2 linked regions of the Caenorhabditis elegans genome follow. The protein of the gene in region 1 interacts with the protein of each later gene in a pairwise test. Each region holds a gene or a part of one and is shown on either strand. Other genes may lie near its edges.

The links. The genes of interacting proteins can lie anywhere in the genome.
Region 2: the proteins of W04E12.4 (region 1) and Y71A12B.11 interact in a two-hybrid assay, tested with the Caenorhabditis elegans proteins (one large-scale study listed by BioGRID).

What each region holds. Positions count from the first base shown.
Region 1 is NC_003283.11:19,741,061-19,746,902, forward strand, and holds W04E12.4 (Kinesin-associated protein 3-like), read left to right. Parts: upstream 1-2,581; 5' UTR 2,582-2,604; coding exon 2,605-2,673; intron 2,674-2,724; coding exon 2,725-2,757; intron 2,758-3,025; coding exon 3,026-3,115; intron 3,116-3,651; coding exon 3,652-3,708; intron 3,709-3,754; coding exon 3,755-3,805; intron 3,806-3,859; coding exon 3,860-3,949; intron 3,950-4,125; coding exon 4,126-4,185; intron 4,186-4,427; coding exon 4,428-4,661; 3' UTR 4,662-4,693; downstream 4,694-5,842. Other genes in the region: W04E12.3 (uncharacterized protein), read left to right, coding at 891-911, 1,046-1,252; W04E12.5 (TPR_REGION domain-containing protein), read left to right, coding at 5,092-5,154, 5,207-5,305, 5,682-5,717, 5,775-5,842.
Region 2 is NC_003279.8:13,975,785-13,981,497, reverse strand, and holds Y71A12B.11 (RNA polymerase sigma factor RpoD), read right to left. Parts: upstream 3,069-5,713; 5' UTR 3,052-3,068; coding exon 3,002-3,051; intron 2,318-3,001; coding exon 2,234-2,317; intron 2,178-2,233; coding exon 1,451-2,177; 3' UTR 1,368-1,450; downstream 1-1,367.

The DNA.
Region 1 (5,842 bases):
GGTAGGTAGGCTGTTTAGAAAAGGAGAATCAAAAAAAAGTATCGATTCTTGATGGATGCGCTATTTTTCGGGTGGAGGGGGAGGTGTTGTTGTATGCAGGGGCCACCCGAAACGTGGGAAAACTAATCAATAAGTTGACTCTCCTCCTCTTGTGGCGGTGTACGCTGGGCGACAAACGTCAAAGTTGGCAAATTGCCAAAATTGAAAAATTTCGGCAAACTTGCAAACCGGCAATTTGCCGGTTTTCTGATTTACCAGAAAACGGCATGCTTACACCTTCGCCCTGAAATTTCGGAATTTCAAATTTAAAAGTTTAAAAAACAACATATGAATAACCTTACATCTATCTTGAAAAGTCAGTAATTTCTATTAAAATATATAGAGAAAATAGAAAAAAATTTCGAAAAAGCACAGTTTTAAGGGTAACCGTCTTTTGAAAAATCCTTTTAGAAACTTCCAGCAAATTGGCAAACCTCAAATCGGCAAATCGGCAAGTTGCTCGAATTGAAAATTTCCGGCAAGAGAAGTTAGTAAACTTGAGAAGTTAGTAAATTCTATTAAATAGAAAAAACGGGAACAAAATTTTTTTTTTTCAATTTTTTGCAATTTTGCGGTGATCAGGTACTTGAAAGAAAAATCTGAAAATCTAAAACTATTATATCTCATTTTCAGATGTGACGTCATACTCTACTTGCTCAAAAATTCGACATCCACATTGGCTCTTCACTTAAATTGGCTTTTTTTGGGCTTTCTTCAATGAATTCTTTTGTTTTTAAATTGAATTTAATTCTTTTGTTTTACGTGAACATGTTTTCAGTTTAAAACATTTAAAACAAAAAATCGATATTTACAAGTTTTTTCTGATTAGAATTTTCAGAGCTTTGCCTAAAATGAGTGAGCTTCAGGAGAAGGTGATTTTTTTTTCTTGTTTTTTTTTACTGAATTTCACAGAACTTGCCAAAAATTGTCCGAAAACTTGAAATTCACGCTGAAAAAATTGACTGAAAATTTGAATTTACCGCCAAAAATTGATCTAAAATTTCAGGAAGCCCAGTGTAATCCACGCGAAGAAGAGGAAAACGAGTTTTCGGATTTGTCTGAAAATTCTGAAAATCTTCAAAATGACACGGAAATTGTGGAAATGATGACGTCACGGACTTCTAAATTTTGGCTCATTGCTCCGATTTTCATTGCATTCGTCTTGTATTTTGCTCTTTTTGAGCTCAAAATTATTGAATTTTTGGGATTTTAATTTATCGGTTTTTTTTTCTGAATAAATTTTCTGTGTAGTTTGTAGTGTTTGTAGTCTACAGGCCTGCCTACCTGCAGGCAGGCATAGTTTGTGAAGGTTTAGAATAAATATGATAAAATAAAATTTCACGTGAACCCGCAAAAATACCAACAAAAATGATGATTTGAAATTATTTCAATGTTTTCCTGATTTCTAAAGGTGAGTCTTTTTCAGAAGGTTTTCCTCTTTAAAATTCCAAATTTTCAGCTATAAAATGTCTGAAAAAATTTTTACGATGAGGTAGGGTTTCATTCCGCCTAGCGCCGCCCAAAAAATGGCAAATTTCAGAAGGATTTGGACCCGACCCTCCGCGAATTCCGGCTTGACGGGTTGGCTCAGCAGGCGAGAAGGGTGAGCGAAAGGGGGCGGAGACAGGTAGAGTGCACTACAGTTAGGACTTTACGTTAGTTACGTTAGTTAGTTTACGTTAGTTAGGACGCCTACACCGCTGAGGCAGATGGAAATTACAAAAAAGCTCGGGAGCTTTTGAAAAAAGCTGAAAAGTACGAGACTGAGGCGGAGATTATTCACGAGGTATGTCGTCTACAGTAGTCGTTGGGCAGTTTTACAGTACCCCTACACAAACCCAGCGTTCCTACAGTGCCCCTATAGTACCCATACAGTACCCCTCCCCTACAGTACTCCCCCCCCCTTCCGTATCCATACAATAACTCTGCACTTTGCCTACAGTACTAAAAAAGATTTTTCAGGAAGTTGCTCAAACCTGGAAAGCATCCCGAATTTCGCGAGAATTCTCCAATTTTCAACTGATGATCTTAATTTCTTCTCCGGTGCTTTTAACGATTTTGTTCTATTTCGTCTATAATCTTAATAATGTTTTTGTTCTTAGTTAATAAACGCGCATGCACACCTACAGGACCCCTACAGTATTCTCACCGTACCAGTACAGTACCCCTACAATAAGCTGAAAGTGGCTCTACATTAGCTCCGACAGTACCCATACAGTATCCCTACAGTGTACTTCTACAGGCCTACAGTATACATGCAGTACCCTTAAAGTGGCTCTACTGTACCCCTCATCGTACCACTACTTTATATCCTACTCCTACAGTAAAACCTGTTCCTTTACATTAGCCACTACAGTACCCCTACAGTACGCCTACAGTACCCATACAGTAACTTTTGCGTAATTATGTAGATACTGCAGTTTTAACTGCAGTTTTTAACGTGAACCAGAATTTTAACAAAAATAGGGAGTTTGTTGGATCCACGTGGGCATATTTGGAACTTTTTTCTCGAATTTTAAATTTGAAAAAAATTTATTTCGATTTTTGACGGTTGCTTCGAGTAAAATGCCAAAAACTGGACAAGCAGTTCCTGCAAAATACAAAAATGAGACTTGGGACGATATTCTGAACGAGGTTAGTTTGCATTTTTTGCAGTTTTGCGCCCAAAAACTGACTATATTTCAGCTGATGGAAAACTCTGAATACTGGATGGATATGGTATGGTTTTTTTTAAATTTCAGCTAGGGCTTCTATGTGGGAGCCGGCCTTCGAGGCGCCTCAACAAGCCACATTCCAAGCCACATGTATAGAGTGCGGCGCGGAACCCCAAAAGCATCGGCCGCTGCCAATTAACTGCAATTTTGCACTACTTGGCGCCGCCTCACGCTGCCACTCGTGACACATGTACAGAGCGGCGCGGGAACCCCGAAATTGTCGGCCGCTCTCACATGGAAGCCCTTATTTTCGGTAAAACGGCTCTTTTCAGACTTTGCCGAAAGCCGAGCAGCGAAGAAATTATGAGAAGATGGCGGAGGTTATGAGAAGAATTGATGTGTGCCGGGAGAGACAGAAGGCGGTTAGTTGAGGCAGTGAGAGCCCAGACAGCTAGACACTCTAACTGTCTGCGCTCTCGTTATTTGAGAAAAAATCAATAACTTTTTTCCAAAAAAAATGGATTTTTTTCACACATTTTATCGATTTTTAAGAAATTAACTAGAGCTTTAGTGTTTTTTTTTTTGGAAATTATCGATTTTTTTTCGGTTTTTTTTTGTTGAAAATTTGGAAAAAAATCATTAACTTTTTTTTCCAAAAAAATTGATTTTTCACACTTTTTATCGATTTTTAAGAAATTAATTATAATGTTAACTTAAAAAATCGATAATTTTTTCGGTTTTTTTTTGGAAATAATTATTTTTTTTGTAGAATTTTTACGTTTATCGATTTTTAGCGATGTTTTTTTGAAAATTTGGAAAAAACTCAATACACAAATTTTTTTTTGAAAATTATCGATTTTTTTCGAAATTTTTACGTTTATTCAAAAACTGTTCAGAGTGAAAAAAAATGTTTAGACTAAAAACCCGTATTTTGTACAACAAAAAATCCAATTTTCAGACGCTGCAAAAACTGAGAAATCTGGAAAAACTTGTGGAGCAAGACGAGAATGGCGCGGTAGGCTTCAAAAAAGCTTTTTTTTTTAGATGTAACTGAATTACAGGAAATTTCGGAGGAAGAGCAAGAGATGTTAATGATGCTGAAATTGGATCAAGTAAGAGATTTTAAAAAATCCCAAAACTTCTAGAACTACAAGACGAATTTTCAGAATGCTCATCAAGCAATTTTGAATCTTCGCAACTCGGATTTGGAGGGTCTTGACCCGGAAGTCAAAGACACAATTATGTATTTTAGAAAGGTGAGCTTTTCCTGATTATGATAATATAGCTTTTGTAGATTTTGCTTCAAAACTGACAGAGTTACGGCTATTTTTCCAAGAGAGGAAAGGAGGAGAGAGAGAGCGCAGACGACGATAGTATCTCGTTTCTCTGTTTCTCTCACCTCGCTTTACTTCTCTCACTTTCATATTCTCAGATCGAAATGGAAGACGAGATAATTGGCCAATGGGTGGCGGATGATTCAGATAATGACGAAGTAAGTGTTGAGAGGGGCGAGAGACCGTAGACAGTAAAACACTCTAACTGTCTGCGGTCTATCAAAAAAAAACGAGGGAATAAGCCTTAGCTGAAGCCTAAGCCTACGATCAAGCCAAAACCTAAGCCTAAGCCTACGTCTAAGCCTAAGCCTTAGCCTAAGCTTAACCCTAAGTCTAAGCCTGAACTTAAGCCTGAGCCTAAGCATAAATTTAAGCCCTCAATTTTTGTGAATTTTTCCAGAACGTCAAAAACAGCCCCACTTCTGAGCCTGAAAGCGATGATGGCACCGACTCGGACCTCGAATCTGAAATTCTCGAGACTGATGAGATGGATGACGTCACTACTTCTCCACAGATAACTTCATCAGTTCCAAAATTCGCTCTCATCTGCATTGTTCCAATTGTTCTTGCAATTCTTCTGTACTTGGCGCCAATCGATTTTTCGAAACTTTTCAATGGACTCTATGAGAACTAAATTCTACTTGTTGATATAAAAAATTACTAGAGAATTGTTTTTTGGTTTCATTTTTTCGCCTACCAAGACTAATCTTGGTCAAATAAGAGCTTACCCTATTGTGCATTCTAAAACAAAAAAGTCAATTTTGAAGCAAACATTTTTAGCATACAGGCCTGCCTACCTACAGGCAGGCATTCTTCGTGCCTACAGTAATGGCTCAGAACAAATTTTCTAAAATGAAATTTCACGTTAAACCCAAATTACCAACAAAAATGATGATTTGAAATTATTTCAATGTTTTCCTGATTTCTAAAGGTGAGTCTTTTTCAGAAGGTGTTTTTTCTCTTTAAAATTCCAAATTTTCAGCTATAAAATGTCTGAAAAAAATTTTTACGATGAGGTAGGGTTTCTTTCGGTTTAGCCCCGCTCAAAAATCGGCAAATGTTAGATGGAATTGGACCCGACCCTCCGCGAATTCTGGCTTGACGGGTTGGCTCAGCAGGCGAGAAGGGTGAGCGAAAGGGGGCGGAGACAGGTAGTGCACCTACAGTTTTGGACTTTAGGACGCCTACGCCGCTGAGGCAGATGGAAATTACAAAAAAGCTCGGGAGCTTTTGAAAAAAGCTGAAAAGTACGAGACTGAGGCGGAGATTATTCACGAGGTATGTCTACAGTCAAAAGCCTTATAGTAATAGTACAGTACCGCTAAGAAATCAGTTTTTGACTGTAAAAAAAAGTCTAAAAATTAACTGGAAATTCAAATTTCCTGCTAAAAAATTGAATGCAATTTTGAATTTCCCGCTAAAAATTGTCTGAAAAATTGAATTTCCCTTGAATTTCTCATCAAAAATTAATTCTAAGAAAATGTCTAATTTAAAAAAAAACGTGACCTTTAAAAATGTTGGAAAACAAGATGGAAATCATCGTCACTGCGTAGATTTTAGTTTGTTTTGTTTCTTAGCTGTGGTTTCGATCAAAAATGTTGTCAAAAGTAAGCGTTTTTCAGAGGTTTTACTGATAAAAGGTTATAAATTTTAGATGGCAAAATACCCGGAAAACGAGAAAAATGATGGGGTGAGGACAAAAATGTTTCGACAACATTTTTTTTTTTTGATTTTCAATATTTTTCAGGCGGCACAAGAACAAACGGGCCCGGATGAGATATTCCCATTTGCTCCGGGAACCATGTTTATGGCTAA
Region 2 (5,713 bases), on another chromosome or scaffold:
AAATTCTCAGTAACAGTCATAGATTTCAATTGGGTTTCTGATATGAAAAACATGCCAATTAGCAGATTTCACAAAATTTCATTAATGTTGAAATTGAATTTTTTGAAATAAAAAAAACCTTTTTTTTGAGGAAATTGGCCAAAAAAATTGGTTTTTATCAGGAAATTGAATAATTTCAAATCTTGTTTTTTTTTCAGATTGTCACCTCACCACTATCAAATGATCCGATAAACTATATAAAAGCACGCCCCCTAGCTTTCAAATACAATGAAATTTTTTCTCAACATTTTTCATGTCTCACACAAATTCTAGCTACGTATTCTGGATCTGGATTGCATTGTTCATTATAACATAACCCAGCAGCAAATCTCACTCTTTTCCTCATATCTTATCCCTTATCACGTCGTTACTTTTTCGTTACTAATTAAAATTCATTGATTGAAACGTGACTCTAGCACTTTCTGCGTCTCTCTTTTCCACAACCACAGAGCTTTGAAGCTCCATATCTTATTATTCATATCTAGCTATTACCCCTGCTGATTACTGGAAAGAGTGGCCTTTTGTGGTCTTCATGCCATGATTTTATCACTCAAACTGATAAAATCATAGTTTGGAAACCTCGACAGGCTTTTCTTTTCTTCTTAAGGAAGGTCACACTTTAGGTTGCAGTTTTGCAGAACTCCAAGACTTCGTCAAAAAGGTCCCAAGTATGTCTAACTGTGGCACCTAACAATTTCAGTAGCGGGTTTTCTTTTCGGCATTAAGCTTTACTGGATAGTGCAACTTCAACTTTTCAAGCAGTTGAGTCATAAAAAACCTGAAGTTTCTCCTGAAACTCCTGAAAGTCCCATTTTGTTTTGATCTACGAGAATTGCGGGAGAAGAGGCGCAGAGTTCTCAACTGATTGCGCATGGTCTGGGAGAAAAGTTCCCGCATTTCTTGTAGATCAAGCCGTAATGGGACAGCCTGACACCACGTGAAACTTCAGCTTCAAGTCACAAGTTTTAAATAAGCAAAGTCCAAAGCTGTCATTAGTTTTGATATCTCTCGTACCTCACGAATATCTCTTGTCGCTCATCACTAGGCAAAGTGCAAAGGCTAATTAGGACTTGTTGATTTTAGAACGTGACACATACAGCCTCGAAACTCCACAACTTATTATTCACAGCTATACTCTTACTAAATCCAAAAAAAAAATGCCTTTTGAGATTTCTTACGTGTGATCTTCCCACTCAATTCGAGGAAATCACAGATTGGACACCTCACAAGGCGTTTTTATTTCAAAGTTGACAGTGTAAATCGATGAAGGCTTAGGAGCATTTAAACCAACAAGACATTTTAAAGATAACTCCAAAATTGCGAGCAATGCATATTTATTGCTGATTGAACAAAAACATGGAAACTTTGAAAACAAAACAATTTCAAACAAATTCAAACAAAAACCAATGAATTAAAAAAAGACCATTAGTAAAATCATCAAAATCCCTAAGAGCACAAGTCCCGCGACTTCCATGTCGCTTAGCTCTCCTATGTTCTGGTCGGTCGTGGTTGTGCTCGAATTTGCTTTTTCTGCTGGAGCTTGGGCGGTTGATCCTTCTGCTTCCTCTTCTTCGGAGTCATCGGAATCATCGGAATCATCGGAATCCTCGTCTTCCTCCTCCTCTTCTTCCACCGATTCATCAGCCGCATCGGACTCTGGTTCCAATTGATTCAAGGCATCTGTACACGTCTCTTCTACATACTCTTCGTCTTCAGAATCGTCGGAACCCTCTGACTCCGATTCATCTTTAGATTCTGATACGTCGGAGGCTTCTGACTCCGAATCATCTAAAGCTTCGGGCTTTGATTCAAAGGCATATGTACCCGTCTCCTTTGGTACTTCCTCTTCATCTTCAGATTCGTCAAAACCCTCCGACTCCGATTCATCCTCGGATTCAGATTCTGACTCTGATTCGTCGGATGCATCTGACTCCGAATCATCAGATGCTTCGGGCGACTTCAAGGCATCATCCACTGTAACTTCCTTATTGGTACCAGCAAGCTCCTGTGGATCATCATTTCCAAGAAATTTCAGCTCCTCGTCAAGAGCATCACGGAGTTGATCATCTTGCTTCTTTAAAATATCCAGTTTTTCTTGAATTTCACTGGACATTGTGCTCTTTTTGGTGGTGGCAGCACTGGAAATTTGAAATTTAGGATCATATAATAGTTTCAAAAAGTTTTCGATACTTACTTAGTTTTCGCAAGATCAATCAGTTCTTGGATGCTGATGTTGTATTGTTCCTCGAAGGATTGGATGAATTCGGAGAGAGTTGAACTGAAAAAGTGGATCTATGGATTGTTTACAGTGTAATTCAGAGGTCACTAGGCTTATGTCTCTCGGCTTATATCGTTAAGTTTAGCTCAGTAGGGCCCCTAGGGTTAGGTGCATAGGCCTACTATTAGATCGTTTTGCTTGGGTCCGTTAGGTTCCTAGGCTTAAGCATTTATGATTAGGCGCAAATTCTTAATTTTCTAGAATTAGGTTTTTAGTCTTAGGTCCCTTACTATTAGGCTTAGATACCTTGGCCGCCTAAATTCACAGGCTTACTTCCCAAGTTCGGACTACTAAGCTTAAGTCTTCAGTCCACGGTTTTTAGGATTAGTTCTCAAGTTTGGGTCCCTAGGCTTAAATCCGGAGGCATATGTCCACAGGAGCCCTGGATCTAGACCCCTATGATTTGATTAACACGCTTTTGTCTTAAGAATTAGTCGTCTAGGCTTAGATTTGTAGGCTTAGGTCCCTAGGCTTGGATCACGAAGGCTTAGTTCCTTAGGTTTAGATTTTCAAATTCTCGGTCCGAAGATTTGGTTCCAATACTTTCCAATAGTCTTATGAATCTTCCAAAAATCTTCCAATTAGGCTTGGGAAATCTTGAAAAAACTGCAAACATTTAAAAATGAACTTGACAATTTCAACAAAATGTGAGCCAAAAGTGTTATTAAATTCAAAAATACTAACCCATGCTCTTGTCTCTCCAAATAACTGTCTGCCTTTGGAACGTTGGACATAATCGACTTAACGAGTTTCTGTAAAATAATAATATTACACGGATATTCAAAAACCAAAAAAAAAAGAAAAAATAAAGTGAAAAAAACAAGAATATTGTGTAAAAAATGAGAGACCCCAATAAAGGGAAACAGAACGCGCAAATTGACCAGGTGTCGTACTCCATGTAGGCGGGACCAGTATGAACTAGGAAGATGTGGGAAAAGAGCAGATGTTACTTTCATCTTGATCTGTTCGGATTTTCAGGTACATCGCTAATTAATACATTTATCGATTTGCAAAAAAAAAAACACAGCAACACCAGTTAGCCGGGAAGGTTCATGTTTTCACAGGCTATCCGATAAAACAATGAACTGTTGTGTATTGAGCGAGAGACAAGGAGAGAAGTAGTTTATTACAAGAAGTGTAAGAAGTAATGAATTATAAAGAGAGGTCGCTTACGCGATAAGTTCATGATGACCCAAAGGTCACGTCTGTATAAAGTTCAGGTTTACGTTCCGTCCACAACATCTCCCCTCTTATATGACAAAAAGCCAGAAATTATGCCTGGGCTAGGGGCATCACCACCAGAGGCGGTATCTCGACCTCTGCGGCGAGTGGAGGCATGATCAGTGTTTGGGGCTGATCCTCGCACAACTTGTCGTGGGTGGCTCTGTCGAAGAGAATGACACAGGAGGATGCCGGGTTGTAAACGCTCGCCGTCACTCGCAACATCGGATTCCAGCAGGGGGTCCAGATGGGTTTCTTTGATTGGCGAACTTCCAGCAGTATATGATTGGCGACTCTTAGCCACACGGCGACGTCTTCTGTGGCTTTTCTTCAACGAACTCTTGCTCTCCGTGACATGAATCGTAGTTATATTTGCACAAGTAGCATTCCGAGCATTGCCGGCAACCGACGAGAACACTTCACGAGCAGATCGAGAACCAACAGAATCACAAGCTGACAAATCTGGAGCACTAAAACCAAAAACAGAAGAATCTGAAACTAAAACTGGATTAGCTTCCATCCCCTCCCCACGGACACCTTGAGCGACAAATTTTTGGCGGCAACTAGAGCGCGGAATGTTTTCCAAAAGCGACAATTTGCACGGATTTTCGATGAATGATGAAGCATAGTCATTCCCACGGCTCCGGCGACCGCAAATGTGACGGAGTTGGTTCATATATTTTTTGTAGCTATATAGAAGACTGGTAGCAATGACAAGCCTATCAATATCAGTCATATCAGGCACCTTTAAGAATATATCCAGCTCAAAACTGTGACAACGAAAAAAAAAATTTTTTTCGACTTTTTTCATTTCTTTGTGAAATCTAAAAGTTTACATGCCTTGAGGTATTAGACAGTTAGTTAATTACAATTGAGCAATAACAGCTCCAGGCGCCCTTTTTTGGTAGCGCTAGATGTGTCTAAAGTGCCAAAAGTGCCTGCAAAAATGACTTTTTTAACTTTGAGCAGCGTTAACTTGAAGCACGTGAAAGATACAAAAAAGTAATCAAGTACAACATTATTTAACAAACGCATCAATAGCTACATTTTATTAGTTGACCACTTCTTTGAATATGCACTGGTTGCTGAGCTACGATGATTTTTGTGGAGCCGGTCCAATTTTTCAAAACCCTTTTCTATTCAGTATATGACCCGTAACTCCAAAACCAGTTGACCGATCGAAAAATGAACAACTAACAAAACATTTATCTGTTTATTATAAACATTTAATTATTTGTACATTTTGTATATTACTTATGTTCGCAAAGTTAATAGCCATTAAAAAAATAATACTCGTAGTTTTTGAAAAAATAGGAAAATTGTTCAATAATTGAATTTTTCTCCCCCAAAAAGTAACGTAGACTAGGAAAACTAAATGCAATTTTTTAGTTAGCAGGTACACAGTATTGTTCAAAAGTATTTAGAAGTTTATCTAAGAAAAAATTTCCTTTCAATTTTTTTTGAATGTTTTTTCGAAATTTTTTTCAAATTTTCACACATTTCCTAAAGTGACTCATATCGTTGTCCGCAAGAGATACATTTAAAAAAAAACTTAAATTGTGAAATGTTTATAATAAACAGATAAATGTTTTGTTAGTTGTTCATTTTTCGATCGGTCAACTGGTTTTGGAGTTACGGGTCATATAGTGAATAGAAAAGGGTTTTGAAAAATTGGACCAGCTCCACAAAAATCATCGTAGCTCAGCAACCAGTGCATATTCAAAGAAGTGATCAACTAATAAAATGTAGCTATTGATGCGTTTGTTAAATAATGTTGTAATCTAGCTCTTTTGGCACTTTAAACATATCTAGCGCTACCAAAAAAGGGCGTCTGGAGCTGTTATTGCTCAATTGTAATTAACTAACTGTCTAATACCTCAAGGCATGTAAACTTTTTGATTTCACAAAGAAATGAAAAAAATCGAAAAAAAAAATTTTTTTTTCGTTGTCACAGTTTTGAGCTGGATATATTCTTAAAGGTGTCTGATATGACTGATATTGATAGGCTTGTCATTCCTACCAGTCTTCTATATAACTACAAAAAAAAACATTTGAGAAAAAATCAAAATTGAGAAAAAACGACAAAACTTATTCCTTGACCTAATAGTTTAGTAATGTATTAAACTACATAAACTATTTTTCCTGGTCCAGCTTTATTACATAACAATAATGTGT